Linked DNA regions of Tribolium castaneum. The main gene of each other region encodes a partner of the protein of the gene in region 6 in a complex. Links are inferred from orthologs where the notes say so. Each region holds a gene or a part of one and is shown on either strand. Other genes may lie near its edges. The genes, in order: Ciao1, Mat1, Mms19, TfIIFalpha, Polr2J, Xpd and TfIIA-L.

What was found.
Region 1: Xpd (region 6) and Ciao1 share a complex: the UniProt entries of both Homo sapiens proteins name them as parts of the MMXD complex. The link is inferred for Tribolium castaneum from reciprocal best matches to the Homo sapiens genes ERCC2 and CIAO1.
Region 2: the proteins of Xpd (region 6) and Mat1 are in contact, whole or in part, in a crystal structure (PDB 6TUN), measured with the Homo sapiens proteins. The link is inferred for Tribolium castaneum from reciprocal best matches to the Homo sapiens genes ERCC2 and MNAT1. Residues at the interface, in NP_000391.1 of Homo sapiens: Lys274, Tyr285, Ala318, Val319, Pro320, Gly321, Ser322, Arg324, Thr325, Glu327, His328, Arg334, Arg335, Glu338, Gln363, Arg364, Val365, Cys366, Gln368, Lys370; in NP_002422.1 of Homo sapiens: Val68, Glu71, Val72, Arg75, Lys76, Leu79, Arg85, Glu86, Leu92, Tyr95, Asn96, Asp97, Leu99, Glu100, Glu103, Glu104, Phe107.
Region 3: Xpd (region 6) and Mms19 share a complex: the UniProt entries of both Homo sapiens proteins name them as parts of the MMXD complex. The link is inferred for Tribolium castaneum from reciprocal best matches to the Homo sapiens genes ERCC2 and MMS19.
Region 4: Xpd (region 6) and TfIIFalpha share a complex: the UniProt entries of both Homo sapiens proteins name them as parts of the TBP-based Pol II pre-initiation complex. The link is inferred for Tribolium castaneum from reciprocal best matches to the Homo sapiens genes ERCC2 and GTF2F1.
Region 5: Xpd (region 6) and Polr2J share a complex: the UniProt entries of both Homo sapiens proteins name them as parts of the TBP-based Pol II pre-initiation complex. The link is inferred for Tribolium castaneum from reciprocal best matches to the Homo sapiens genes ERCC2 and POLR2J.
Region 7: Xpd (region 6) and TfIIA-L share a complex: the UniProt entries of both Homo sapiens proteins name them as parts of the TBP-based Pol II pre-initiation complex. The link is inferred for Tribolium castaneum from reciprocal best matches to the Homo sapiens genes ERCC2 and GTF2A1.

Annotation. Positions count from the first base shown.
Region 1 is NC_087395.1:25,661,420-25,664,867, reverse strand, and holds Ciao1 (probable cytosolic iron-sulfur protein assembly protein Ciao1), read left to right. Parts: upstream 1-1,561; 5' UTR 1,562-1,707; coding exon 1,708-2,340; intron 2,341-2,386; coding exon 2,387-2,908; 3' UTR 2,909-2,922; downstream 2,923-3,448. Other genes in the region: pkaap (A-kinase anchor protein 10, mitochondrial), read right to left, coding at 1-1,171, 1,215-1,298, 1,351-1,378. UniProt on the Homo sapiens protein: Key component of the cytosolic iron-sulfur protein assembly (CIA) complex, a multiprotein complex that mediates the incorporation of iron-sulfur cluster into extramitochondrial Fe/S proteins.
Region 2 is NC_087396.1:14,732,227-14,736,750, forward strand, and holds Mat1 (CDK-activating kinase assembly factor MAT1), read left to right. Parts: upstream 1-1,556; 5' UTR 1,557-1,674; coding exon 1,675-2,622; 3' UTR 2,623-3,511; coding exon of another isoform or gene 3,512-3,733; 3' UTR 3,734-3,786; coding exon of another isoform or gene 3,787-3,974; 3' UTR 3,975-4,042; coding exon of another isoform or gene 4,043-4,130; 3' UTR 4,131-4,319; coding exon of another isoform or gene 4,320-4,424; 3' UTR 4,425-4,477; downstream 4,478-4,524. Other genes in the region: Ras64B (ras-like protein 2), read right to left, coding at 3,512-3,733, 3,787-3,974, 4,043-4,130, 4,320-4,424.
Region 3 is NC_087400.1:4,137,409-4,141,602, reverse strand, and holds the start of Mms19 (MMS19 nucleotide excision repair protein homolog), read left to right. Parts: upstream 1-1,334; 5' UTR 1,335-1,403; coding exon 1,404-1,491; intron 1,492-1,536; coding exon 1,537-1,739; intron 1,740-1,786; coding exon 1,787-1,967; intron 1,968-2,010; coding exon 2,011-2,216; intron 2,217-2,265; coding exon 2,266-2,409; intron 2,410-2,459; coding exon 2,460-3,570; intron 3,571-3,615; coding exon 3,616-3,737; intron 3,738-3,791; coding exon 3,792-3,892; intron 3,893-3,941; coding exon 3,942-4,086; intron 4,087-4,131; coding exon 4,132-4,194. Other genes in the region: GCS1 (mannosyl-oligosaccharide glucosidase), read left to right, coding at 1-1,167. UniProt on the Homo sapiens protein: Key component of the cytosolic iron-sulfur protein assembly (CIA) complex, a multiprotein complex that mediates the incorporation of iron-sulfur cluster into apoproteins specifically involved in DNA metabolism and genomic integrity.
Region 4 is NC_087400.1:9,146,967-9,151,427, forward strand, and holds the start of TfIIFalpha (general transcription factor IIF subunit 1), read left to right. Parts: upstream 1-1,622; 5' UTR 1,623-1,752; coding exon 1,753-1,776; intron 1,777-1,831; coding exon 1,832-2,022; intron 2,023-4,461. UniProt on the Homo sapiens protein: TFIIF is a general transcription initiation factor that binds to RNA polymerase II and helps to recruit it to the initiation complex in collaboration with TFIIB. It promotes transcription elongation.
Region 5 is NC_087395.1:21,130,783-21,133,734, reverse strand, and holds Polr2J (DNA-directed RNA polymerase II subunit RPB11), read right to left. Parts: upstream 1,368-2,952; 5' UTR 1,125-1,367; coding exon 1,072-1,124; intron 1,017-1,071; coding exon 927-1,016; intron 877-926; coding exon 666-876; 3' UTR 621-665; downstream 1-620. Other genes in the region: mitogen-activated protein kinase 1, read left to right, coding at 1,666-1,793. UniProt on the Homo sapiens protein: Core component of RNA polymerase II (Pol II), a DNA-dependent RNA polymerase which synthesizes mRNA precursors and many functional non-coding RNAs using the four ribonucleoside triphosphates as substrates.
Region 6 is NC_087394.1:27,625,840-27,630,105, reverse strand, and holds the start of Xpd (general transcription and DNA repair factor IIH helicase subunit XPD), read right to left. Parts: upstream 2,911-4,266; 5' UTR 2,732-2,910; coding exon 2,727-2,731; intron 2,676-2,726; coding exon 2,576-2,675; intron 2,531-2,575; coding exon 2,276-2,530; intron 2,228-2,275; coding exon 1,994-2,227; intron 1,947-1,993; coding exon 1,726-1,946; intron 1,676-1,725; coding exon 1,542-1,675; intron 625-1,541; coding exon 95-624; intron 1-94. Other genes in the region: Tbce (tubulin-specific chaperone E), read right to left, coding at 3,076-3,377, 3,424-3,709, 3,759-4,266. UniProt on the Homo sapiens protein: ATP-dependent 5'-3' DNA helicase. Component of the general transcription and DNA repair factor IIH (TFIIH) core complex, not absolutely essential for minimal transcription in vitro.
Region 7 is NC_087395.1:25,200,802-25,204,554, reverse strand, and holds TfIIA-L (transcription initiation factor IIA subunit 1), read left to right. Parts: upstream 1-1,372; 5' UTR 1,373-1,581; coding exon 1,582-2,069; intron 2,070-2,311; coding exon 2,312-2,762; 3' UTR 2,763-3,026; downstream 3,027-3,753. UniProt on the Homo sapiens protein: TFIIA is a component of the transcription machinery of RNA polymerase II and plays an important role in transcriptional activation. TFIIA in a complex with TBP mediates transcriptional activity.

The DNA.
Region 1 (3,448 bases), on a different chromosome or scaffold from region 6:
ACATTTTTAAACTTGAAACTTTTCCGATCAGGTTCTGGCTCCAAATCAGTTTCAAATTTACCCAAAGCTGTGATCCTCCCACAGGATAATCTGTGCGTTCGTCTCCTCTTCCAGAGCGAATCGGGGTCGCACAACTGCCTCGTGTCGATACTCATATCTGCGTTTTTATCCTTCTTTTTACAATTATTATTATTAAAGTTTAACTCTAACGCTAGAAATGCGCTATTTGTACTGAAACTCTTCTCGCTGCTGCAATCGGACGAAAGCGTCCGATTATTCTCGAGATTAAAATAATCGTTAGACTGAACGGTGTTTATCAACTCGGACAGATATTTGCAAAATAACTGTGACTCCAAAAACGGTTTGAGATAGTTTTTCTCCAACACTTGTTCGACGATTTTCAAGGGCAACTTGAAACAATCCAAGACAAGTCCGTTCTCCCCGCAAATATTTTGTTCGATTTCGAAGCGAACTTTATCGCCGAAACCCAACGGACAATGGGCTTGCAGCGAAAAATACTTATCGTAGAGCACAACAGCGTCATTTTGGGCCTCAATTGGGTCAAAAAACTCCTTTTGATTGGTCAAATGTTGCTGCAAGTTGGTGGCAGCGATCCAGAACTCCAACAAATTGCACGAATTCTCCTGTTCGAGAAACTCCATAAAGTAGAAAAGCGCCGTTTCGTTGTAGAGAATATCGTCAAGGGCCACTTGGCCACTCGTCAAAACATCGATCTGGTATTTGCAGAAATAATCGCTGGCTAAAAACGCCTCAAAATACTCCTTCTCCATGACTTCGGTAACGAAACTCTGAACGGGGTCCAAACAACTGGCGATTTTCTCCAAGTCACAAATGTTTTCAACGAGTTCGTTACGAACTGACTCGGGGCATTTAACATTGTGAGCGGACTCCTGAGCTATGTACTTTTTAAAAATCGCAACAGCGCCCTCAACTAGACTAGATTCACACGAATCACTCGAATTTTGGGTGTCACTGGAGTCGCAATCCGTACTTATCTCACACTTAAACGACTCAATGTCCCCCCAACAATTGATAAATTTGGCGGCGTTTCGCGCCTCCATAAACTGGGTAAAGTAGCCCAGAGCCCCCTTATCGCCCAAAACCTCGTCCAAGGTCCGACATAGCCGTGACCTCGTTGCCTCAAACTCATCTTTAAGACACAATAACCCCAATTTCTACAATTTCGTACTCACCGATATCGAGGTCCAGAGGGGGCGGCTTCGGGGGCCGGGGCCGCGGCGTCACCGCTGGGGCTGCGCATTTCGTGTCATTGCCGGCTTTGGAAACACTAATTAGGAAAACCCAAACATCAATTACGAAATTACGCACCTTTTGATTTCCTCCAAAACTGTAACATGGTTCATCGTAATGATGGGTTGTGGGGGCGGGGGCGAGTCCGATCAACCCAACAGTGCCAAGAGGCCCCAAAACACCCACAAAACCGATTGTTTTGATAAACAAAGTTGATTGTGATTCACGGCACAAAAAATGTAAACGTCAAATGAGGCTGGCCACACCGACGGCAAAAAAAAACAAAAATCGCACATTCAACCACGAAAAAAAAATTCAAAATTAAGCGAACAATTAATTTAGAAGAAACATAATTGATTTTGCACTTAAGTACGCAATTTTATTGGTAAATAATTGCAAAAAAACGCAATAATAATCATGCGTTGGCTGCATTGAATGACAGTGCGGCCAACTCAACGAAGCAAAAACGTAATAAAATCACCCATTTTTTCACGTTTTGTGGCATTGGTAAGCCCCTTAAGTACATTTGCCCCCTTTTGGCACGTCGTGCGTCCCCCGAGACCACTTTTTAACCACCCTGTCGTTGTTCGCGACCCTAACCCCAAAATGTCAAAGCTTGAGCCCCTTCAAACTTTATGCAAGCACACGGGGCGCGTTTGGGACGTGAGTTGGCACCCGAAGGGGCAAACGTTCGCCTCGTGTGGCGAAGACAAGACCATCCGAATCTGGTCGAAAGACTCGGACTCGAAGTGGTCGAATAAAGTAATTCTAACCGATGGCCACAAACGCACAATTCGGGAAATTGCGTGGTCCCCCTGTGGCAATTACCTCGCCTCGGCCTCCTTTGACACCACTACGTGCATTTGGGACAAGAAATCGGGCGAGTTCGAGTGCAATGCCACTCTTGAGGGGCACGAAAATGAGGTTAAGAGTGTTTCCTGGTCGAAGTCGGGGCGATTTTTGGCCACTTGTAGCCGTGACAAGTCGGTTTGGATTTGGGAGATTGCCGAGGAGGATGAGTATGATTGCGCGGCCGTGTTGAGTGCGCACACACAGGATGTGAAGAAAGTAGGTAGCAAGGGGGCGATTTTTGTTGTTATGGAGGTTGTTGCAGGTCGTGTGGCACCCACATGACGATATCCTCGCCTCGGCCTCCTACGACAACACGGTTAAGTTGTTCAAAGAGGACCAGTCAGACAACGACTGGGTTTGTTTTGCCACCTTACAGGGGCACGAGTCAACGGTTTGGAGCATAAGTTGGGACAAAACGGGGACAAGGATTGTGTCGTGTAGCGACGACGCCACGTTGAAAATCTGGCAAAAGGGCCAAAATACGGAGGAAACGTGGAAATGTGTGTGTACCATGTCGGGGTACCACAACAGAACCATCTATGACGTGTCTTGGAACCACTCAAGTGACTTGATCGCCACCGCTTGCGGTGACGACGCTATCAGAATTTTTAAAGAGGAGGAAGGGGGCGACTTAGAGGCCCCCACGTTTAGCCAAGTCACCTGCATTGAGAGGGCGCACGCCCAGGATGTCAACTGCGTCGCCTGGAACCCCCTTCTTAGTGATATTTTAGTGTCGTGCAGCGACGACGGGGAAATTAAATTGTGGAAATTTATCCCTGAATAAAATTGTTTGACGTTCCTTTGTTTTTCTTTGATGGATAGGCGGCTGTTTATGTCAATTGTTTACAATTGAACGTCACAGCCTACTGTCGCCCATCCATTGAGATTACTTTTTCGTTCCACAGATGTTAATAAGACGGTTGGCGGCCCTAAGTCGGATTAAAAATTACTACAGCACGGGCCCCCAAATGTCGGTCAAAGAAATCGTCAAAACTTTACAATCCTACGCCCCCTTGACCCTTGCCGAGAGCTGGGACAATGTGGGGCTCCTGGTGGACCCAATGACCGACAAACAGGTCAAAACAATTCTATTAACAAACGACCTCACTGAGGATGTGGTCAATGAAGCTAAAAACTTCCAAGCGGGGCTCATTATCTCCTATCACCCTAATATCTTTCAAGGCCTTAAAACAGTCTCTGACAAGTACGCCCCAAATTACACAGCCAATCAAAACTAATCGTTTTGTCACAGGACTTGGAAAGAACGAATCGTAATCCAATGTATTAGACATGAAATTGCGGTTTACTCGCCCCATACGAGCTG
Region 2 (4,524 bases), on a different chromosome or scaffold from region 6:
AAAAAACTTACATATTGTCCCATTTCAGTTCATAGTGGAGTTTTGCAACAACTCATTTGCATTTTTTGTAATGAAATGGAGCACAAATTGAGAGTTTTTGGTGGGTTTTCTTGGCTCAAAAAATTTGTCGCTGGGATTTAGTTTAATATAGAAACTCTCAATTTGTGTTTTTTTATTTAAGTGACACAATTTCTTGTCTTTAGTAAATTAAAAATTTTGGTACACATGAACGTTAAAAGCAGAATACTTTACGAAAGATGATTTCATTTGATTTATTCCCAGGGAATATTAGATATAAATAGCTTTTGTTTTTGTTTTCTGACCTTCAATATCATATTTTTTTTCAAGCAGAACTTCTTAATAATTATTGTACTTGATATAAGCATTTTAATTCATCACAAAATATTGCAACAAGTCTGTTTACTTGAGTAAACTCCATATAATCTGTGCTTAAGCCTTAGGAGGGAAGAATAAATTAAAAAAAGATTTTTTTAATAAAATCATATAATTTTATTATATAATTATAAAAACTTACAGTTTCAAAAAAACTGTTATAGTGTTTTTATTTTTGTGTGCACAGTCAGTGTAAATAAAGCTTTTATAGTAATAATTTAAAACTGGGTTTCAAATTACAATTTTTCGCGCCTCATTTCCCGCAGCTTAAACGGTTGATCTACTGCCACGGAGCATTTGAACTATTATAAAAACTGCTGAAGGTTCAATTTATCAAGAAAAACATTGCTTAGGCTTCGTATTTGCTATTGTATTTGTTTTGATACTTATTTGCCTCAAATTCTGCTTATAAGCAATTTCAATTCGGAAATAAAATTAACTACACGCCCTCTGGTGATGACTTTTGAACTATGTCGAAAACAGTAAAGAAATTTTCGTAATGCCACATTTAACTGACATTTAATGAATTTGCGTGTATAGTGTTAATTACTTACAATAGAAAGAATTACTTTAAAAGTACGTGGTGGTAAATGCTAGCGTTGACTTTGGTTCTGTAGTTTTTCGTGGTATAAAGTGTTTATTGTTGGAACTTGAAAGTGGATAAAAAGTGAAAAATATTTAAATTTTGATTACAAAGTGTTATCAAGCAGTTGTTTAATTAAAGATTATAAGTAATGGATCACAGCGAACACAAAGTTTGGCTCAAGAAACCAATAAATTAGTGAAGTGTTATGAATTTTAGGTTAGAATTTTCCACTGAAAAAATCATGAAATGCTGCGGTAAATCTACAAAACTACAATAAAGATTAACAACTGCTGATACATTTAAACGTAAATTATGCCAAAAGGTAGGCTTTTCAATGTCTTTGTAATAATTTTCCAATAAAGAAAGTGAACCAAACAGTCATTCGTTATTCGTGTTTTCCTCGTCATCTCACATTTGTCAACATAAGTTTCTTGCATCAAAGATGCAATAATCATTCCGCATAGGCAATGTAATAATTGTGAAGCCCCAAAATTCGTACAACGCTCAAAATATCCGAATAAACATTTTCCCGCCATTTATGGTTACTGTTTTCGACCTAGCTCAGTGGCGCCCCCAACGGTAATTTTACTTCCGAATATTAAATAACGTGGTAACAGCAATGTGTGTGACAGCCGGCAAGTAAGGTTATGTGCTCCTGTTGATGTGCGAAAAAGTTGCCCCCTTTTCCTTGCACGATGGAGGACTTTACGTGCCCGCGATGCAAGACCTCAAAGTTCCAAAACCCATCACTCAAAATGATGGTAAACGTGTGCGGCCACGGGCTGTGCGAAAGCTGCGTGGACTTGCTGTTCCTCAAAGGCTCCGGGAGCTGTCCCGAGTGCCGCATTCCACTCCGGCGCAACAACTTCCGCGTCCAGTTATTCGAGGATGCCTCAGTTGAAAAAGAGGTGGATATTCGCAAACGCGTCTTGCGCGATTTCAACAAAAAAGAGGAGGATTTTAATTCGCTGGCTGAGTTCAACGATTATTTGGAGGAAGTCGAGACGATCATTTACAACCTGACGAATAACATCGACGTGGTTAACACGAACAAAAAGATTGAGCAATACAAACGCGACAATCGCGAACAAATAATGAAAAATAAAGGCAAACTGGGGAGAGAAGAGTACGAGCTGGAGGAACTCTTAGAGTTGGAGAAACAGCAGCAAGAGATGCGTAAGCAGGAGATAATTATTGAGGAAACTGAAAGTAAGAAGAAGAAGATTCGGGAGAAGGAAGCGCTAATTGATGAGTTGATGTTTTCGAGTGAAAATGCTAAAAACATTGTCGAAACGTTTGCCCAACAAGCCAAGGAGGCCAAAGAGGAGGAGGCTAAGGCGGCGCCTGCCAAAAAGACGCACTTTTCAACAGGGATTCAAATTGGGCGGCAGACACAAAGCTCATTTTTGCCTGTTCCCATCGAAGAGGGCCCCTTATTTGTTTATAAACCTTTGGTTTTGCAAACCGATGGCCCCAAATTGCCAACAGATGAAGAAATCGCCAGTATGGGGTACACGAACCATGTACGGGCAGAAAACGAGCAAGAGAGAGCTGGCGGTTTCAGGTCCAATATTGCGTGTGTTAGGGCTCTGCAAGATGCCTTCTCGGGGCTGTATCATGTAAGGAAAGCGCCGGTGCATTAATTTATTGACGTGTTGGAGAATAAAGATATTTTTTGTACATTAAAACATTTATTTTGTTAAAATAGAACACACAAATCTAAAATTTATAACTAGAAAGTGTGCCCGCGATAAATAGCACCGTTGATTACATCTAATTGTACTTGCGATAAACCTGTTAAACTAAGCAATCAATAAGGGGGCTATTTTGGTAAGTTTGAAATAAACCAAACGTTTGTTTAGTGTAAAAATATGAGTCAAGTCTATTACCGCCTAACTAAATATCATTAGTAACTCGCTTATTAGATGTAATTGACACTCTGTTAAATCAATTCTGCCTATTAAAACATCAAATGGCAGTGTTCATGGGAATTACATAATGTAAATATCATCTCACGTGATGTACTGAAAATTATTTCGGTTGAAATAATTTTATCGAGATCTCTAAATGAACAATCAGGCAATCTTATTTGTCTCAAAGAATCCATAAAACTATTCTAGCTACTAGTAGCCTAGAAAAATATAATTTATATAAAAATAAAATTGGTGTTTTTCACTCTCTATTTGGTAGACAATAACTTATATACAAAAAAAGCTTGAGTCATATTCATATAAGTCTGCCTCTCTTTATAGCTACATATTATATACAATATTTATAGAGCTTGACGGCTAAAATCAGACAAACAAGGGGTCAACGAAAATTCAATACGCACTAAGGGTGTGGTCACTGGAGTTTTGATTAGTGTAAAAAGGATTTTGATTGGGAAACTTCACTGGGAAAACGCCAAATGTCCCCCTGTTTATCTGTAGAAGAACACAAGACCGTGCAGATATGTCCTAACAGCGTAATTACGTTTAAATATCATAAAACCTTAGTGATGTGTACATAAAAATAAGCGTCTAGCGTGCGCGTTCACAGCATGCAGCATTTTTTCTTGTTCCTTTTCATGTAGCCGGTCTTTAGAGGCGGTCTTTCCGATAACTGGAATTTTCGCACAACGCGGACCAGTTCGTAGAAGGCATTATCCACATTCATCCTCATTTTGGCACTGCATTCAATGTACGGGATTTTTAATTGTCTGGCCAGCTGCTGCGCCTCCTCTTGCCAAACGACTCGCTGGTGCTCCAGATCCACCTAAACGGAACTGTTTACAAAGGACGGAAAATAGATTAGGGTCAAGGAATTACCTTGTTTCCCACCATCAGCATGGGGAACTCGTCGCGGTCCTTCACTCTAAGGATCTGTTTGTGGAATTTGTACACTTCCTCGAAGCTGGACCTTTCTGTTACTGAAAAGACGAGCAAGAAGCCTTCACCCGATCTCATGTATTGTTCCCGCATGGCGCTGAATTCCTCCTGACCGGCGGTGTCCAAAACTGCAATTTTGGCGGGTTAGCCTTGGGCTATTTTGGGGCTTGGGAGTAAACATTGGGGCGCTACTTACTGTCTAGTTTTGCGGGGATATCGTCGATGACACATTGTTTGGTGTAAGAGTCCTCAATGGTGGGGTCGTAGTCGGTAACGAAGTAGCTCTGGAATTTCGTTTTGAAACTTGTCACAAAAGTGTAGGATAAATTACAAGGTTAAACACACTTCACTCCATATAAAGGAAAATGTAATTAGGGACAATAACACCTGACGATTTTCATACGCTAGATTAATGAAACCAGCCCTTTTCAACAACGGAAAACATGCAAAATTGACGGTGTTTGCATAATTACCTGGATAAATTGCAAAGTTATTGCGGACTTTCCGACACCACCTCCACCCACAATAACCAATTTGTACGTCTGATAACTGTTGGGCCTGTCCGTTACCTTAGACATTTTAATTTCCTTTTTCAAATTAAAACTAATTTACGACGACTTTACTCAACTACTGATTTAAAAATAGGGAAAAAATAAATATAGAACAACTAAACGTGAA
Region 3 (4,194 bases), on a different chromosome or scaffold from region 6:
GCAACGTGGGACCTTGACCTTGAACTTGACATTATCAGTCATTGGTTCGATTTGATGAACGTTGAAGGGTGGATCCCCCGTGAACAAATCCTGGGTGTTGAAGCTATAGCGAAAATACCCGAAGAATTTATCGTCCAACGAAATACTAACGCAAATCCGCCGACTTTCTTCCTCACGTTGCAATACATTTTGCGTAAATATTACGATAAGTTGAGCGAGGGACGTTTGGCAACACTGGAACGGTTGTATCCAAGGTTACAGGCGTGGTTTGCATGGTTTAATACCACGCAAAAAGGGGCGGGGCCTGGCATGTACCGGTGGAGGGGGCGTGACGCAACAACCAATCGTGAGCTGAATCCGAAAACTTTAACTTCGGGCCTTGACGATTATCCACGAGCGTCACATCCGACCGAAGCCGAATACCACGTCGATCTATACTGTTGGATCGCCATAGCTAGTGATACTTTAGCAAGGTTGGCAACACTGTTGGACCGTGATGGGTATAAATACGAACAAACTGCCGATTATTTGAAAGACAATTTCCTATTGGATAATTTACATTGGTCTAATTACGCATCGCGTTACGCCGATTATGGTTACCACACTGATTCTGTTAAATTAAAACGACCGAAACCGTTACCAAGGTCACAAAACCAAAACATGGAGATGGTGCGTGTGACCTTGAAAAATCCCGAATACCGATTGGTCGACTCGACTTTCGGTTACGTCAGTTTGTTTCCGTTTTTGTTACAAATGATTGATTCGGATTCGTTGAAATTGGGCCAGATTTTGGATGACCTTCGAAATCCTGACTTGTTATGGACGAAGTTTGGTCTAAGATCACTGTCCAAAAATTCACCCCTGTATATGAAACGCAACACCGAACATGATCCGCCATATTGGAGGGGCCAAATTTGGATAAATATCAATTTTCTAGCAGTCCGGTCCTTGTATTTCTACGCCAATACGGAGGGGCCCTATCGGGATAAAGCCAACGCGATTTATAAAGATTTGCGGGAAAATGTGATTAAAAACGTGATGACGCAATATTTCAAAACGGGTTATCTGTGGGAACAGTATAATGACGAAACGGGGGAGGGGAGTGGCTGTAGGCCTTTTACGGGCTGGACGGCCCTGGTTGTATTACTTATGGGCGAGCAATACTGAGTCAATAAAAATCTAAGTACGGTCCTGTGTTTTATTTAAAAATTAAAAATAAAACCCGCGCTATACGGAAGTTTAAGGGTCGGTTTACAGAAGCGTCATTAACTTAATCTGCAATTAAATGCGTCATTAATTTAATCTGCAATTAAATGCGTAATTTTTTGAAATTTGAAAATGAAGGTTATAGTAGGTTATTTGGGGCATGCGTGGTCAATTATCATCTGTCAAAAAGTTTGGTTATGATGGCTTCGAATTTGGCCAAAAATTTCGAAAATGTTACAATAGATGACCAAGAATTTGCCGAAAAATGCCACGAATTGGCCCAAGGTACGTACAAGTGGCCCCACATTGTGACATAACCTCAACTTTCAGCACTTGAATCGGGTCAAGTGACCTTGTTACGCCTTGTCGAGGACCTAGGGGGGCTCCTTATCGATACGAGCCCCAAGGGGCGCGAGCTGGGCATGTGGGTGTTGACACGTGTCGTCGAGACTTTGCCCCCCGATGTTTTGGACGAAAATCAATTAAAATTTTTAAATCAGTTTTACACGGACCGGCTTAAGGACAATCATTTTGTATGTCAGTCCAGGGGCTACTGTTTTTTAACTGAGGGCGATTTTAGGTGTTACCGGCCGTTTTGCGCGGTTTTCTCGCCTTAATTCGGTGCGAGGGGGCCCCGAAAGGGGGCCCTGGCCCTTTTCTCGTCCAACTCTTCCACAATGTCTCGTGCCAACAACAACAAGAAAACGACAGATTAGCAATTTATCAAATTTTCGAGACTTGTTTGGAGAAATTTTGGCCAGGTTTGGGCCCCCTTTTAAAATTCAATATCAGTCTTTTTTCCAGAATTGGATGAAATGGGGCCCGACTTTGTCTACGGTGTTATTTCGGCGGTTGATGGCGAACGCAGCCCCAAAAACCTGATTTTTCTCTTTGATTGGTTTCCGAAATTTTTACGAAAAGTCAAATTGGGGCACCTGGCTGAGGACGCTTTCGAAATCCTGGCGTGTTATTTCCCTGTTGATTTTAGGGCTCCGCCACAGGACGAAAACGTGCCCACTTTGTCCCCATTAAACGACAATCAATAATAATTTTTTACAGGGCATAACTCGAAATACCCTCGCTGAAAAGCTCGCCTTTTGCCTCGTTGCCGTTCCACAATTTGCCGAATTCTCCCTTCAATTAGCGTTAGAAAAATTCGATTCTTCGCTTGAAATTGCTAAATTGGATTCGTTACGACTTATTGTAAGTGGTTTTTTTTGTAGCGGACCGCAGACTAAACACCAAACTTGTAGGAACTATCATTTGTTACTTTTGATATTTCACCAACCACAGTATGGCCACTCATACAAAAAGAACTGTTCCAAACGACAAATCCAGCAATTGAAAAAGCCTGTTTAACAACAATGACAGCTGTTATTAAGCACACACGTGACCCAAATTTGACAGAAACGGTCAAAGATATCTGCGATACAATCAAAGGAAATTTTTTACCCGACTCAAAATTATTCCAACCGTCGGCACGTTTGATAATCAGTGTTGCCAACGCATCGGACAGCGTTGCCAACCTCGTAGCGCGTGAAACCGTCCCCATATTAACAAACATGTATAATATAGCCAACACAACGGCTGAAAAAACACCATTTTTGCGCCTACTAACCGACTTGTATGCACTTGCCAGCGATTTAGAAAATCTCGGGGAAGTACCGGTTTTACTTGTAAAATCTGACTCACCAATCGCTTTTGATTGTTTACGTGACATTTCGCCGAAACTACCCGAAAAAATCCGACTTTTACTTTACCAAAACTACGTCAAGTTGTTACAAGTGCCACAAGAAGGCGCTGTCTTACAATGTCTTGAAGCTTTAGCACGGGATTACCCGAACGAAGTGGCTACGCACGTGGTCGGTAATACAGAAAACTATACTCCATGTTTTCTAGACGCCTTGTGTGTGACTTTGGCAAATCAAAAATTTTTCACGGCCCATTTAATCGATTTAATTTTGAAAAATTGTGCAATAAAAACATTACAAAAAGTTTTAATCAAATTTGACGATTGTGACGCGATTTTTGACGTTTTAAACGCACAAAATATCACCCATGTGTTGATCGAGATGGCTTTGACTGGTGATACGTGTCACGAAACGATTGCATTTGTTTTGAAAATTGTGATTGGTCGAATGTCGAGCGAAAAACAAAATGAAATGATTCGAAACGAATTAAGTCGAATTAAGATTGAGGATATTTTTTTACTAAGCGGGATCTTGACTTGTTTAAGGCGCGATGTTGTAATTAATTACGAAATTTTAAGCGAATTAATTGAATTTATAATTAGGGAGAGGGATAATTTGAGACGTAACGCAGCTATAGAACTGGTTGCAAATATTTTGAACAAATGTCCCAATGGTAATTTAATTCCGTGTTTTAATTAATTATTACAATTAATTGTAGATGATGTAATTAGGGAATTTTTGGAACGGGTTGACACTAAAACCGACCCCATTCTTACGTCATGGCTCACCAAGGCCTTAATTATGCGTAATCACGAATTAGGCACATTCTGGACCACAAAAGTAGGCAATTAATTGCGTTAGCTCAGTCGTTAATTAATTAATTTTCCGCCTTAGTTAATCGATTATTTGGATAAAGATGAAAGTATAGCTCCGTGTTTTCGCACAATTATGTCCAATTCGGAGTCTTTAAGTACCAAAAGTCATTGCAATGTTGCGTAAGTTGATAATTTAGCACTTAAATAATTTTAATTAAATAACTTGTAGATTTTTGTACCAGCAGAAGTTTTTTACGATAGTTACGAATAAATTAAGTGCGAATTACAGTCCAGACAAGAATTCGTATTTATCAGGCCTTGGATATTTACTAGAGTTCGCACCAAAACCGGCCGTTTTAGTCCAATTTAGAAAAGTAATAATTTCAAATTGAATTTAACCAATTAATTTAATTTTGTAGATTTCGAAATTAATTATTTCGTGTCTTGACCACACCACCAATCATGAGATTCTCATTGTAATT
Region 4 (4,461 bases), on a different chromosome or scaffold from region 6:
AACCTTTAAAACTACCTCTCATTATCGATCCGTCTCTTCATTTCGGTTGCTGTTGATGTCTTTTCGTGTTACTAAAATTGTAACAGAAATAAGTTGGAACAAAATGATCTGAAAAATCGAGTTGCCTGCACAGTTAAAAAATATTATTTTTTCACTGTGAAACCGTGAAAAAATAATATTTTTTCACAGTGAAAAAACGTCAAACTTCGCGCATAGGTAACCATGCATAAATGTCACGATTTTTTGACGGCTGTAGAAAAAAATAGTTTTAACGTTGGCACAAAAGTCATTCGGAGGAATTTTAGTAAAAAAAGTTGGGTTCAGTGTTTAATTTATTTTGAAAAAATATCATTAATGTTAAATCCAAGATGAATATGTAGATACGAAAACATAGAAACAGGGTTAAATTCCGTCTCAGAAAACAGTTTTTGATGTAAATGTGACAAAAAGTTCGTAATTAACTCTGCAATTTCTAATTTTTAAGAAGAAAGTAACGAAAATGCAAAATAATCATGTGACAGACAATTAAATGATATGAAAGAATAAAAAAAGTGCCACAAGTAACGCAGTCAGTCTGCCATCGAATTTTGAACTTCTTGAGTAAAAATGGTGAACAAATCTAACTTTTCTTTTAATCAATGGCACAATTTTATTGTATGTTTGGAAGTTTTTTCGACTAAAAATGAAACTATTGAGTTAGAATTCTGTTTTTTTGCGATTATTTCAAAAACTGTAAGAGATAGATCTATGAGATGTTAATAAGAGTAATAAGTGTAGCTCTAATAAAATTTTCATGCACTTCAAAAAAATAATAGCTAATGTAATTTATATTTTCGATGATTAACAATTATTTCGATGATTAATTATTATTTTACAATTTTATCAACCTTATTAAAAAAAATTATTCGGTAAAATGCGACGTTGGTGTTTTTACAGTTTTGAAACAGCTAATACCTACTTATTTAGTGAAGTAATAAAAAGGAAATTGACAAAAATTATTAAATATAGAAAATATCTAATCAGTTTGAGTTTTGGGATTATTATTTTACACAAAACCTTAAAATGTTTACGATCTTAGTCATACCTACATTTCATCATGTATTTCCTGTGGATATTTTTTATAAAATAATAGAGCAATATCGGATTATCAATTTCATCCGAATTGCTTTAAAGTTTTTGGAAGTATTTTGTATTATTAAAATTATTTTTGGAATTTATGAAATTGCTGGAATTATTTGCGGACTTTTGGAATAATTTGTGAATGACTGGAGTTTTTTGGAATTATTCGAGATTATTTGAATTCCTTAGGACTATTTGTAATTTCAGGAATTACCCACTAGGGAATTATGAAAATTACAGGAATTAATTTGGAGTTTATACAAATTATTGATATTTCGAAGTTTTTGGTTGATTTTTTGAAATTACTAGAATTTCTGTCGATTTTTTTTGGAATTAAAGTTAGTTGTACATTTTTTTTTAAATTAAAAGCTTCCCGGTTTTTATGGAATTTTATATTGTAATAAATGTTTCTGTTTGTTAATAAAAATTAGAAAACAATAAAAAAAATACAACTGACTCCACGGTTTTTGTCACGTTAGAAAGTATCTGCCCTAAGTATGGCACCTGTGTTACCGACATGGTGACCTAACCTCTAAACGAACTTGTTTGACAGCTGTTTTCTAAATAGGTCTATTTTTTAATTTGAGTTTAATTTAACTAATAAATTTTGCAATTAATTGTAATTTGGTTAAAATGGCGACAAGTTCAGCCGCCTCTGTACGTATAAAATAACAGTTTTAAGTTTTCACAAATTAATTTTATTCTGTTCAAGCAGAAGCAATCACAGGCCCCAGCCGGTGTTAAGGAGTATACAATCAAAGTACCGAAAAACGTCCAGAAGCGATACCATGTAATGAGATTTAATGGAAATCTTGAAGTGGATTTTGCCAAGTGGACGCAGGTCAAAATGGAAAGGGAGAATAATTTGAAAGAGTACAAAAGCGTCGAAGAAGAACAACCAAAGTAATACATAACATAACGCACTTAAATGATCACTGATAACAGCCCAACAAATTGCATAATAAAAAGTATCTAAAATTTATTAACAAACGTCAAGATGTCATGTCATGTCAAGATTAACAAATGTCAAAGATACGTCAAATTCATGGTCGCCTTCGATAAACCCATTGTCCGAAAATTAGTATTGTTTTTATTATTTTTTTAATTTATTTATCTACGTTTAACCTAATTAGTTTTCAAATGAAACAAACAAAAAACTAATACACAAAAGTTGTCATTTTAGCAAAATCTTAAAAAAATTCATATCTTCGTTATTATAAAAGATACACATTTGAAACAAAGATATTATACTGACACTTTTTTACAGAGAATTTAATGTTATCAGCAGTTTATTTTAACTTTTAGTTTAGCTGCAATAACATAAAGTTTTATTTTTTTAAATAGGAATCATAGGCGGCTGTGATATTTTTGAAAATACTATTTTTCTCTGATTTGATATATCTATTTGTGTAACACATTATTTTTAAATATTTAAAAAAATATAACATTCCGCTTTTTCTTTATAGTAGGCTATGAAAAAATTTTGGATTTTCAATTGAAACTGTGAAAAATATATTGCCCAACAAGTATTTATGATTTATTGATTTTTAAACATTTTTTACAGAGAATTTAATAATGTTATTAACGTTTTTTTTAATCATTAGTTTAGCTGTAATAACCAGTGTGAGGAAATTTTATGGGCGAAGGTTAGTGCATGGGCGCGCGCTTGCAGTCAGATAAACCTTTAAATCGAAATGTTGTGGAACAGCTTACATTGTTGATATAAGTTAGGAAAGAGTATTAAAAAATGTTTAGACAAAGAATTTTTTGTTTCAACCCTCGCGAAGGGGCTGAAAAGACGTTTTAGCTAAAAATTTGCAAACACCTAAACTTGGACACATTTTGCGTTTACATACTCACATCTTCCTTCTGGATAAAGCTAGAAACTCCGTTTTTTTGCAAACAAATTTTCAATAAATGCAGATTTATACGTAGTTTAACAAGGTAGAGTTTTGATAAAGGGAAACCAAAAAAAAAATACATTTTCTTGTAACGTTGCATAATTGTGTAGTGAAATTTTCGAGATGCGAGAAAGTTTTTTAATTTAAAAGATAGACTCCCACATAATCGAGACGAAATAAAGCTAATACTTGAAATCAATTTTTGGTGCAAGAATCATTTCGTTATCTGTAAGACTCACCAAGTTATTGCAATTTAAAATTACTGCAAAATGCGCCTGAGGTGAAACCGAAGCGTATTTCCCTCTGAAGCGTGTTCATCGCCTTTGACAACATTTCGAGAGCTAAAAATCGTAATTCGTAAATAATTAAAAAATAATTAATGTCACTTATCTATTAATATTATACCTTTACTTTTAACCGCCCTAACTCTCAGTTAATTTTAATAATATCTAAAAAGTCAAAAGAACATTTTTATCTCATGTACTTATTTAAAAAGCATATAAGTGACCCAGTAAAACTAAATTGTAAAATTGTAATTCATTTCAAAGTATTCTTTGGTGTGACATTAATATTTTTTTAATTATTTACCATTTTTAGCCCTTGAAATGTTTTCAACCACACCACGTTTCAAAGGGAAATACGCTGCGATTTCACCTCGAGCACATTTTGTAGATAACTAAATAATCCTTCTTTAAAGTCCTTTTTAAAAAAATATACAAATCGTAACGTTTCTGACGAATCAACAATTGTAGTTACACGCTGTGGTACTTGGTTAGAAGCAAATTTCTAAAAATTTTAATCAATTAAAATCATTTGTTTATTGCTTTAAACGACGATGCACAAAGCATTAAATAATGTAAAACTTTAGTTTTAACCACAAATTTAGTTTCTCAACTTAATTTTATTGAAAATAATTTTTGAAATATTCCAACTACGATCAAATTTCTAGAAACGTAAAATTTTAAATTATCCATTACAGTTGAGAAATTTGAGTCTACGTTGATAGAGTTAAAATCTGTAGAATGGTCATTACAAGATAAATTTAATGCAAAAATTGACGCAGTTGTTACTAGAAATCCCGATTTTCTAGTTTTAAAACAAATAGCGAATAATGTACCACCTTCGACATATTTTGCATTAGCACCAAACTTTTTATTTACTCCTGTAACCAGTTGTGATGTAGAAAGATCTTTTTCGAAATTCAAAGATATTTTAACCGCAAAACGGAATCAGTTTTCGAGAATTTAGAAAGAATCACAGTTATTCAAGCGTATTTCTCAGAGAAAATGATTAAAATATTTTTAATTAGTTTTTAATTTTAATTTCCACTGAATTAAAACGAAACATTTTCAAAATGTAATAGTGACTTACGCTCCACTGTATTAAACATCTTTATTGGTGTCCATGTAAGATTGAGGAAATGATGAAGTTATTTTTTAAC
Region 5 (2,952 bases), on a different chromosome or scaffold from region 6:
GCAAATTAATAAATATCTTGTAAAAATTTCTAGTTAATATTTATTTGACACAAATTAGTTGTTTTGTAAGTTATCCGTTGATGAGGTTAATTGTAAATAAAGGATTGTGAATTAAATAAAAATATATTTTTCTGTTAATAACAGTTACATGCTCGTTTCTTTCTTCAACCACTATAATTATAATTAAGTCAGAAAAAATTTCTGGAAAGGTAAACAAAAATGAAATTGTTCTTAAATACCTAAATGACATAACGGTGCAGTCAGAATTATTTTCAAAATTTAGCCAAAAATCATCCAAGTTTTAAAGTATTTTTGAGGTTTTTTTTTTAATTGAAAACTCACTTTCGATATACAGGCTAATTTTTAAATAGACCGATAAAATTTTATTACTCATGGTGGAGCTCGCAAAACGGACAGCCTGTGTACACGGATCACTGAGGTTTTACTGTATTTACGTAAGTGCTTTAAAGCACAGACTTTGCCACCTTTTAATAAATCTTAAATAGCTTATTTTGAATAAAAATTGAAAACGAATTATTAACCATCATAAATAAACAAGTCATTTTAAACTTTTGACGCTGGGACGCAAGACATATTTTTGGGTACATAACAAAGACTGATTTATCGAAGCATAAACTTTATTATTAGTGAATAAATTCAAATACTTAATCTAAACCTTCTTTCTTTTCCTTGATCGCTTCCTTAAAACGTTCTTCAAACAAAGACAACTCTGAAATCAAATCTGTGATAGAATTCATCAAAGCTTCTTGAGGCGAATAATCAGATGTTGTTTGAATTCTCAACACAAATTTATGCTCAAGTGGATGAGGCACCTTGTATCCAGCAAACAAAACGTTCGGATCTTTTAACAATTGGCTAAAAAATCAAAAATAATTCAACCTAAACCTTAATGTTTTGTTACACACTTTCTGATCATGTTTCCCAACGTGTGGTCTTCTTTGTTTATGGTAAAAATAGCCGCGTTTGGCACTTTTGTGTCTTGTTCCCTTATTATCCTAAAAACACAATTTGTAAAAATAAATTTTTGGTCCAGAGAATTTGCCCACTCACTTTTTCTCTCCATCATAGAGCAAAAATGACTCGAAGGTTGGTGGCGCATTCATCCTGAATGGAAATACTGTTCACTGAGCTTTTTAAACCGCTTATTAATTTTTAACAACTTTTTATTAGTGCGTCACTTTTTTGTGGGTTATGTCACCTGTCCTGTCATCTGTCAAAAACCAAATATCGGAATTTTTTATTTTTCTGTTTAAAAACTTATCGAACGTCTAATAGGGTATTACAAATGCCGCCAAAATGAAAATTGTAGCCCTATTGTGGGTTCGATAATGGAAAATAAAATTAGGGTGCTTCCCGACTAGTGTTCAGTTGGTCCACCAGGGGGCGCGTTATTTGGCTATCTTTTCTGGGAATAAATTCGTTTTAAAAACCAAAAAAGCCTCAAATTTGGAAAAATCCACGTGAAAACGTTACTAACGAGTCTACAATTAGTTGGAGTTTGAAAAAATTGGTAATAAGTGTGAATAATAACGATCTGATATCAGCTGATAAATATTAGGGATCGGCTCCTCTCTGCTTCAGTCTGTGGCTTCAGTGTGCGTGAGTTTGTCATCGAGGAAGGTAGTTTAGGAGGTTTCGCTAAAAATGGCGGAAGCCACAGGTGTATCAAGTGTAAATCCGAATGCAGAAGTTGTAAGGGGTCAGGTATTTGAGGTGGGCCCCCGTTACACGAACTTATCATACATTGGAGAAGGCGCATACGGAATGGTCGTGTGAGTAAATTTTCCTTATCATTAGTCGCTGTGGTTTTCTAACTTACACGCCCTAAAATTGCGGATATTGTTCCAGTTTCAGTAACTCGATCATTTTTTAGTTTTACCGGTTTTGTACAAAAAGAAAAATGTTCATAAAGTTGGCGGTGGCTTGTCAAATGGTTTTTTCATTAGAGGTTGAGGTTATGTATACATAACTTCCTGTCATTAGTTTGGAAGAAATCGATGTTTTAGGACGGTAGCCTGGAGACAAGTGATTTATTTAAAGTTTTTGGCTGATTTCGGGCTTTTCCGAAATTGATTCATTGGCTCCGAGTTTCATACATGAAACAATTTGCTATTTTTAACTAACAAAACATTTAAAAACGTCAAATTATTTTATTTTTAGAAGACAACACCGACTACTTTTCGGTAATTTTAGCCTAATTGTTAGAATAAATTGGTATGATTATTATTTTGTGACTTTTTTCTTATTTTCTGTTTTTTAGTTTTATTGTTTTTGCATATTATGCTAAAATGAAATAATTTATTCATTAATTGTTGACAGTAGCACTTATTTGGTATATCAACTAACTTTTTTTATTAATAATTAATATTGTATTATTACTACTATATATTATACTTATTATAGATCCTACATTTAAAAAACATTGAAGTTATCTACGCTTACAAATTTTTAAAAAAATTGTTGGGTACCTTATTAAATACAGTGTGTATCACACAATTTTAAGAGACCTGTTTTTAAAGTGCTCATCCAAATACCATGCGATTTACTAAACTTTTGATCTAGTTATTCATGACAGTTAACGTTATTACGTTAACCCGATGTCCATTACGGAAGAAGGTTCCAACCTGGATTCCAACATAATTTTTTTGTTCTTTGCTGAACATTTTGGACATAGTGACAGATAAAGCAATGCTGAAGATATTTACGCAATTCGTTTCTGCTGGCGAAACTCATGGTAACTAGATCAAAATTTAAAAAAATCGTATTGTACAAGGTGTATACAAATAGTAATCTCACGGAAATCAGCGTTTGGTATTAAATACTTTATTTTTTCTCTATGTATGTGAATTTTTTCAGAATTTTTCTATAATTTCGTATACAATAAATAAATATTTATTAAAAATATTAATACATGTATGCCATGTCGGTTCA
Region 6 (4,266 bases):
TATTCCGCACATATACTATAAATTTTGTGCAAATTTATTTAAATAACTTAACATTCAATGGTCAATGATGAACTCCACCAACCTCTGGACTTACCATTGGTAGCAAACAAGGCCTGGCCAACGTCATAGTGAACGAAGACATGATCACAGGATGGAAGTTCAAAATCTTGGGGTACATATCTAGAGGGGATAGGGTTCCAGAGGTTATAACCACGGTTTGAAACCGATCAAAAACCGGTTTTATGGCAATCGACGAATCCAAACAACTGAAATGTAAGATCGGGTTTGACACCGTCGGTGTCTTATCATCAAACGGTTCTACGATTATCGTAAAACCTTTCGTATAAGTGGCCACCAAAGTGGCCAAATGTGTGACTAAAATGACCGGACTGAAGTCGGTCAAGTCTGATATTTCCAAAGTTCTCAACAGAGATGCCAAGCGTTCAGCACAGAAACGTAACGGTTTTCGTTCAATACAGACTTTGGATTGGACGTCTTTTAAAAATCCAGCAGGGCTTTCTTGCACCACGTGCTGGACTCGCAGCCGAGTTTTGAGGTATTCGAGGAAACGTTTCAGGAAACTGACAAAGTGCTCGGCGTTGCGAATATTTCCAGGGACGGCCTCTGAAAATTAATAAATTACGCAATTTAATTTTTTTTCGAATTACTGACATAATAAATAACAATCAGCCCAAAAAATTAATTCGGAAATGGCAATATTTTTGCCTCTGTCTAGCATTTAAGTGCATTTTTGAGCTACAAAATTCTTCTCAAAGCATTACTAAACCAGGCGGACAAATCACAAAATATCATCGAAAATGCGATTATTTTTGCATTTTCCGAGCATTTTGTATGGTTGTTTTAGCCTGAAGTTCAATGATTTCGAATAATGCCCTCAAAAATAAGACAAAAAATAAGCAAATAAGTTTACTTTTGAGAGATTTCAGCAGAAAAAAGATTCTTATTTAATCGAAAATGACATTATTTTTTGCTTTTTTCATGTGTTTTTATTTAGAAACAGTTATTTCGTTGAAGATTGTTTCGTTGAAAAATATTCGACTGAATTAGGTCAACCAAATTTGGCTTTACCGAGTGTTTACCAGGTTTATGAGAAAAAAACAAGGTTTTCCTCCAAAAAAATTCGTTGAAAAAAGGATGAAAATCCAGGAAAATATATCGCAATTGATGCTACCTATTTTATTTATTTATTGTCAGGTCAGGTCAGGTCAGATCTGTTTAGTTTTTTAACTTTGTTAAACATGTTTAAAAATTATACACAAATCGAAAATTATACTATTGAGTTTGTTTCATTCGAATGACCTCGTTTTCGAGTGAAATTTTGCTAAAAATAAGTTAAAAATTATCAAACTTTGAAAACAGTGTTATTTTTTAAATTCTCAAGCTGTTAAGTACAAAGTTTTTTGGCTAAAAATCACTAAATTTCTTCATTTTTGTCAACGCATTAAGCTGTGTCTATATCACTCAGTGTTGCCAACTTAATTTCAACGTCACGGAATATATAAATCTAATTCGGGTATTACCCTGGAGGATGGCGTCGGGCAAGACCGGATTGGCCAAAATGACGTCAGTGTCTCGCGCCACGCTAGCGTCGCGCAGCCCCTCAACTAATCTCTGATATTCTTCTTGCAATTTTTTGTGATCGTCTTCACGCATCCTAAAAAATTTTAAAAAATCCAGAGAAAACTTAAACTTCCGGGGATTTACTCGGCCACAGTACGTTCCAATAACTGGATGTTGGCGGAAGCTCGATCGATAATTCGTTTGTTGATTTTCACACTCATTGAGTCGATGCAAACATTATCGATATTGTGAGCCTCATCGAAAATAACAACTGACTCTCGTGTCAGCTCTTTGGAGACGACTTCGGCGATCTTGGGGTCTAGTAAATAGTGGTAACTGTAGACTACGATATTCGCGTAACTTATCTAGGAAAAAGGGTCAGAAGTGCAATGTAAAGTGTGACCTCAAGTACCACAAAACGAGACAGGAAATAGGGGCACCAGTTGCGGTCCCGTCCGTACTGTTTCAAATCATCTATACTGTAAACCCCAAACGGCATCGTACTTTCTTTGCCATCCAAAGCGAAACCTTCGTAATACTGACAAATGGGAGTTGTATCATCGTAATTGTGCCTCTCCCTTATGTAACTCGCCGTTAGTGCGTGGCATTTTCCGTCCACAATCTTACCCTCGCGCTCAGTACTCACCTGAAATTTGCAAAATCAAGCCCGGTTATGCACCCCCAAATCACCTACTTCCGGGTGAATACATAGATTCTTCCGTGAGGACAAAACCAGCCCCAGGAGATGGGGGTACTCCCCGTCCAACTTCTCATAATACTCGAGCAGTTTTTTCAATTCTTCCATAACTTTCTCGATTTCGGGGACAGTACGAGAGCAGTAGATCAACTTGCGGACGTCATGGGGGTGCTCGAGCATGTATGCAACAACGAGGGAGAGAATGGTGGTGGTCTTACCCGTCCCTGAGGGCATTTCCAAAAGGCAGTGGCCCTAAAATTAACATAAAAAAGGGGCTGTGAAAGGCGGGGAGCGTACTTTGGCGTCCAGGGCCCGCTTGAGCTCGCACATGTAGGCATACTGCTCGGGGTAGATGTAGTCATAGGGGAAGTACACGATTAAGCCATCGACGTTTAGTCTAAAATTTTCGGTTTTGAGGCAACTCAAGTGCCAATAGTCGGGTTCTTACTTCATTTTTTGTATGGTGCTGGGTGAAACCGTGGTGTTTACATTGACCCGGTAGTTTTTTTAGGTTATGGCATGTTTGGAAAAAAGTGCGGTTATGCAATTTTTTGTAATATTTTCTAACAATAGGAACGTTTCTATTGCTGCTAATCGATTAGTAAGGAAGAAGGGGGCCTAAAAATTTAAGTCCTGTGAGCTGGAACCACGTATTCTATCAGTTATTCAAAGATTCTATAATAAGTAGGGTTATGTAATGTATTCAAGTATTCAAGAAGAAAACACCTTTTTATTTGGAAAATATTTATTAAAAACTTTATTGAATAAATTAATGGTTTTGTACAACACAAAATCAATCACACTTTGTCTTTCACGATAATTTTATCACCATTTTGCATTGAGTAAACTCCGATTTCTTTCATTTCATCCTCTAGAAGAATCTCGATTTCTGGATCGCTCTTGCTGGCGTAAATCAAGTGGGGCCTTCCACTCAAGCTGAACATTTTCTGTGTGAGGACTATAAGTTTTTGCACAGTCATTGTGAGAGGCACTTTCTTTTCTACCGTAAAGTCCTCAAAAACTATACTTAATTGGACCAACGTATTTTTAATAATTTTCGGTTTTGAGACAAGTTCACTCTCTTCCAGCTCGCCATATTCTGCAAAAATAACCGTAAAAACGTAACAAAAAAAATATAAACAGACTTTGTATCAATTCCAAATATCTGTTGTGGGTTTTGAGAAAATCAGCCTCTTTGTTGGTACCCTTGGCGTCCAACCATTCAAGACCGTACTTTTTCATGTAGTCGTATTCAGCCCCCCGTCTCTCAGTGGCTTCAATCTCAACCCCATTTAAAATTTTCAAGTTGGCAATTTTTGCGATTATTATTTGATGGATAGTGTCAGGTTCTTCCGATTCTGTGATGGGGTTTTTGGAAAATCGCAGATTTTCTAAACTTTCAAGCCGATTTAACTCAGCCACAGAACGCCACTAAAATCAATCCTCTCATGAACGGAAACGAACAAAGTTTCAGTCTTACCTCACGGATCAAGTTTTTCACAACACATAATTTTTTCATCGCTCTGAAAGCTTGTACTTTGGGGGAATCACCCTCAAACTCAATCAACTGGAGCCCAATATTCTCCAGAATAAGTTGCTCCAAGTGCGGTAAATCCCCCAATTTGCAGACCTCCGTCCAAAACTCAATGTTATTCCCTTCAAGATCGAGCAACTTTAATTTGGTGAAAAACCCCTCAGGTGTGCTAAGCCCCCGGATTTTGTTATTCGGAGCTCTGAACTCTTCAACTGACGGGAAAATGCGTCCAAGTTGGCAAATGTGCCCCCAGTCCAAGTCCATACACCCACAAATCAGAGTTGTCACGTTTGGAAAACTCTCACTAATCGTTGGCAAGTCCAGCAAATTCTCACTAACATTCAGCCAAAAAAGCCTCGGCAACTGGCGGCAAATCTCAAAAACGCTCTCCCAAGACACTAGCAAATTTTTCGAAATGTCCAACTCTTCAATATTCGGACACGTTTCTCCGAGT
Region 7 (3,753 bases), on a different chromosome or scaffold from region 6:
CATTTTCTGTATTATACCAACTTTTCACGAGATTTAAAATTTTGAATTTTTTTGCTAAAATTTAATGAGTATTAACACTTGCCTTCAAGAAAGTGAAAAAAAAATTTTTTTAATGTGTTCTATCATAGTTTTTCGTACTTATATGTGCCTTTACAACCCTCTAGGGTTGTTAAAAGTTCAAAAAAAATCCTTATGTTCGATTTTTTAATATTTGATTTTTTCAATTTTCGTCGCAGTTTTTGTCGGTTTTGGGTACCCGGAACATTTCTCGAGCAATAGCTCCGGAACTATTAGAGATAACCCCATGAAGTGTATTATCGTTGGAAAGCTCTTTTAATTGTCTATCTTTTTCAAAAAAGATCTTTGCTCTCCGACTAATAGTTTTCGAGAAAATTGCAGATAAATGCAAAAATTGGTAAAATTTTAAAAAATTCGTAACCAAAAAACTAGTGGGAATTTGGCAATTTTCTCGACGCCAATCGATTCCCTGGATCATTTTGCATAGGTAAAGATCAAAACAGTTCCCCTTTTTCGAATAGTTTAGTCGTAATTGAGAATATAATAAAAATTAAAAATAAATTAAGACCTCCCTCCCCTCCAAAATGGCCATTTTTAAAAGTGTCTCAGAATCAAATAACACTTATCCTTTCTTATAGATTTTGATGTGCTCTTTACGATGGAAAAAAGAGTTTTTTCCTAGCTCTTTTAGTTTGGCCGTAATCGGCGATTGAAAATTATAAAACTTTTTGCGAGATATCGCTTTGAGTCCTATGCCATTTTGTAGAGTTTTTATTGCGCTTTTCTACAATTCTTCCGTTTTTAGATAACTCTAATAATTTCGCCGTAATCGGCAGTTGAAAATGGAAAAAAAGCGAAGATGGAAACTTTATTTGCGTTTTTCTCGGAAACTCTAAGACTTAGAGAATCAAACTAAAAAAACGGATGGCGCTTAAAATTATCTATTTTTTCGTCCAAACCCGGAGCTGCTCCGGGCAACGGTTCCGGTTACAGAGGCAATTAAAGTTTTACACTAAAAAAAATCATAACCCAAAAAGTAAAAGTCGTTGGGCAATGCGGTTTGTTTCATTTTCTTTGTTATACCAGCTTTTTTTACGAGATTAAAAATTTTGATTTTTTTTGCTAAATTCTGCTATATCGTAAATTAACTTAATTTTTGTATTTCGCGGTAAAATAATTCGGGCAGCCATTTTGTGCTTTAGTCAACCCACAATACACCACTTTTTTACTATTTTCTTATTGCTTAAATCTCTTTTTTGTACCCATAAAAACCCCACGACTCACTAATCACCATACGACTTTTTTGTCGTGGTAGTAATTTTTTGTGATAAGAATTGATAAAAACTCTTCATTCCGGCGCTTGCGCACTATCCCCGATCGCGTCCTGCCGTTACCCCAAAATTTTCCTCATCTCTCGCCTTCATTTTCCATCAAAATGTCGGCCATCTGATTTCCCTAACCTCAAAAGTGCATATGTGCGCGTAAAAATGCCATTATCGCCCGTTTCCACTCTCGGAAACCGTTCATAATCAGCTTAACGTAGTGTGGTGCGCCCCCAAGGCCATGTCGAACTCCCTGTGCAAGACTTCGGTGCTCCGCATCTACCAGGAGGTGATCGACGACGTGATCAGCGGCGTCCGCGAGATCTTCCTGGAGGACGGCGTCGACGAGCAGGTCCTCCAGGAGCTGAAGCAGACCTGGGAGACCAAGCTCAAGGCCAGCAAGGCGGTGCAGAGCGAGGAGGAGAAGGCGAAGAAGGCGGAGATGACCGCCACCAACGGCTTCCCCAAGCAGCATGTGGCGCAGCCGGCGGCAGCCCCCGTGGGGCAGATCGCCGAGACGAAGATGGTCCCCATCCAGATCACGCTCCCGGCGCAGCCCGGCAGCGACCAGGGCCCCAGGATACTCACGATACAGGTCCCCGCCACGGCGCTCCAGGGGAACCAGCTCCAGAAGGTGCTCACGGGGCAGATCATCACGGGGATGATGAATTTGCCCGCCAATATTGCGTCTTCGGTGCTCCAGCAGCACGTCAACGCGGTGTTTAACAGGTAGTCAGTTAGCCCCCTTTTAACTTAAATCGTCCACGCAAAATGTTTTCGGGTCACCCTGTACAAAGAAAAATACATGTTTTGTGCACACTTATGCAGATATTTTTGTCAATAATTGTTTTAAAAATTTTCTAATTATTGTTTAAAATTTTATCGGATTTTTAATAATGTTCTCTTCGGAATAAATAAAAAAGCTTGTAATAATTGTAGTTTTTTGTTATGAGATAACGTGTTTTTAACAGCCAGCAGCAGCAGATCGTGACCATTGTCAACCGAAACATCGCCCAGACGGACGGAAGCCACGCCGAGGAGGAGGAGGAGGAACAAATCGAAATCGAGTTTATTTTGCCTAGGAAGAAGGTGCCCCAGGTGGACGGCCCCGTGGACACGTCCGACGACGATGAGGACGGGTCTGACGACGATAACGACGACGAGGATATCGATGACGATAAGGACGAAGAGGATCAAGAAATGGAGGAAGAAGGTGGTGAAGAAGAGCCCCTGAACTCCGAAGACGATGTGACTGATGACGACCCAACTGATTTGTTCGATACTGATAACATCGTTGTTTGTCAGTACGATAAAATCATAAGAAATAGGAATAAGTGGAAATTTTATTTGAAAGATGGGATAATGAACTTGAGTGGACAAGATTATGTCTTCCAAAAGGCTAACGGTGATGCGGAATGGTAATTAGTGTTTTTTAAGAAGTTTTGTTTTTTTTTTATTATTTTCAAGTCACTTGCACGCAAAACCCGTCACTTATTCAAGGGAACGTTGGGTTCCGACTTAAGTTATTGAACTTTTGTATGTAAAATGGGAGAATAGCCTGAGTTGTAGAATTGTGTTATCCATTATAAATGTAACTAATAATAGGCGTTTAGATTTAATCGAAATTTTTACTATGTATTATCAATTATCGATAGCCGTTTGTGAATAAAACTATTTTTGAAGTTACACCATTGGTCGTTTTTCTAACACCTGGAAGATGACAAAAATCGCAAATTAGCAGCTCTTTTGAAAAAAAATCATAACTCAAAAACTAAAAATCGTAGAGCAATGCCTATAATGGAAAATTATATTCAACAAAAAAATTCATAATTCGAAAACTAAAAGTCGTAGAGCAGTGCGGTTCGTTCCATTGGATTCAGCGCCTTTTTTTCTCTATTATACTAATTTTTCACGCAATTTAAAATTTTCAATTTTTTTGCTCAAATTTCCTGAGTTATACACTTACTTACCTTCAAAGAGGTGAAAAAAAATTTTTTTTAAACTAACTCCAGCAAATTTTTATGGACTTCTACATGTCTTAACAACTCACAAAAGTTGTTAAAAGTCCACAAAAAGTCCAAATGTTCGATTTTTTGATGTTTGATTTTTTCAATTTTCGTCGCAGTTTTTGTCGGTTTTGGGTACCCGGAACATTTCTCGAGCAATAGCTCCGGAACTATTAGAGATAACCCCATGAAGTGTATTATCGTTGGAAAGCTCTTTAAATTATCTATCTTTTTCAAAAAAGATTATTGTTCTCCGACTAATAGTTTTCGAGCAATTTGCTGCTAAATGCAAAAATTGGTAAAATTTTAAAAAATTCATAACTAAAAAACTATTGGGAATATGGCAATTTTCTCGATGCCAATCGATTCCCCGGATCATTTTGCATAGGGGTGGATCAAAACAGTTC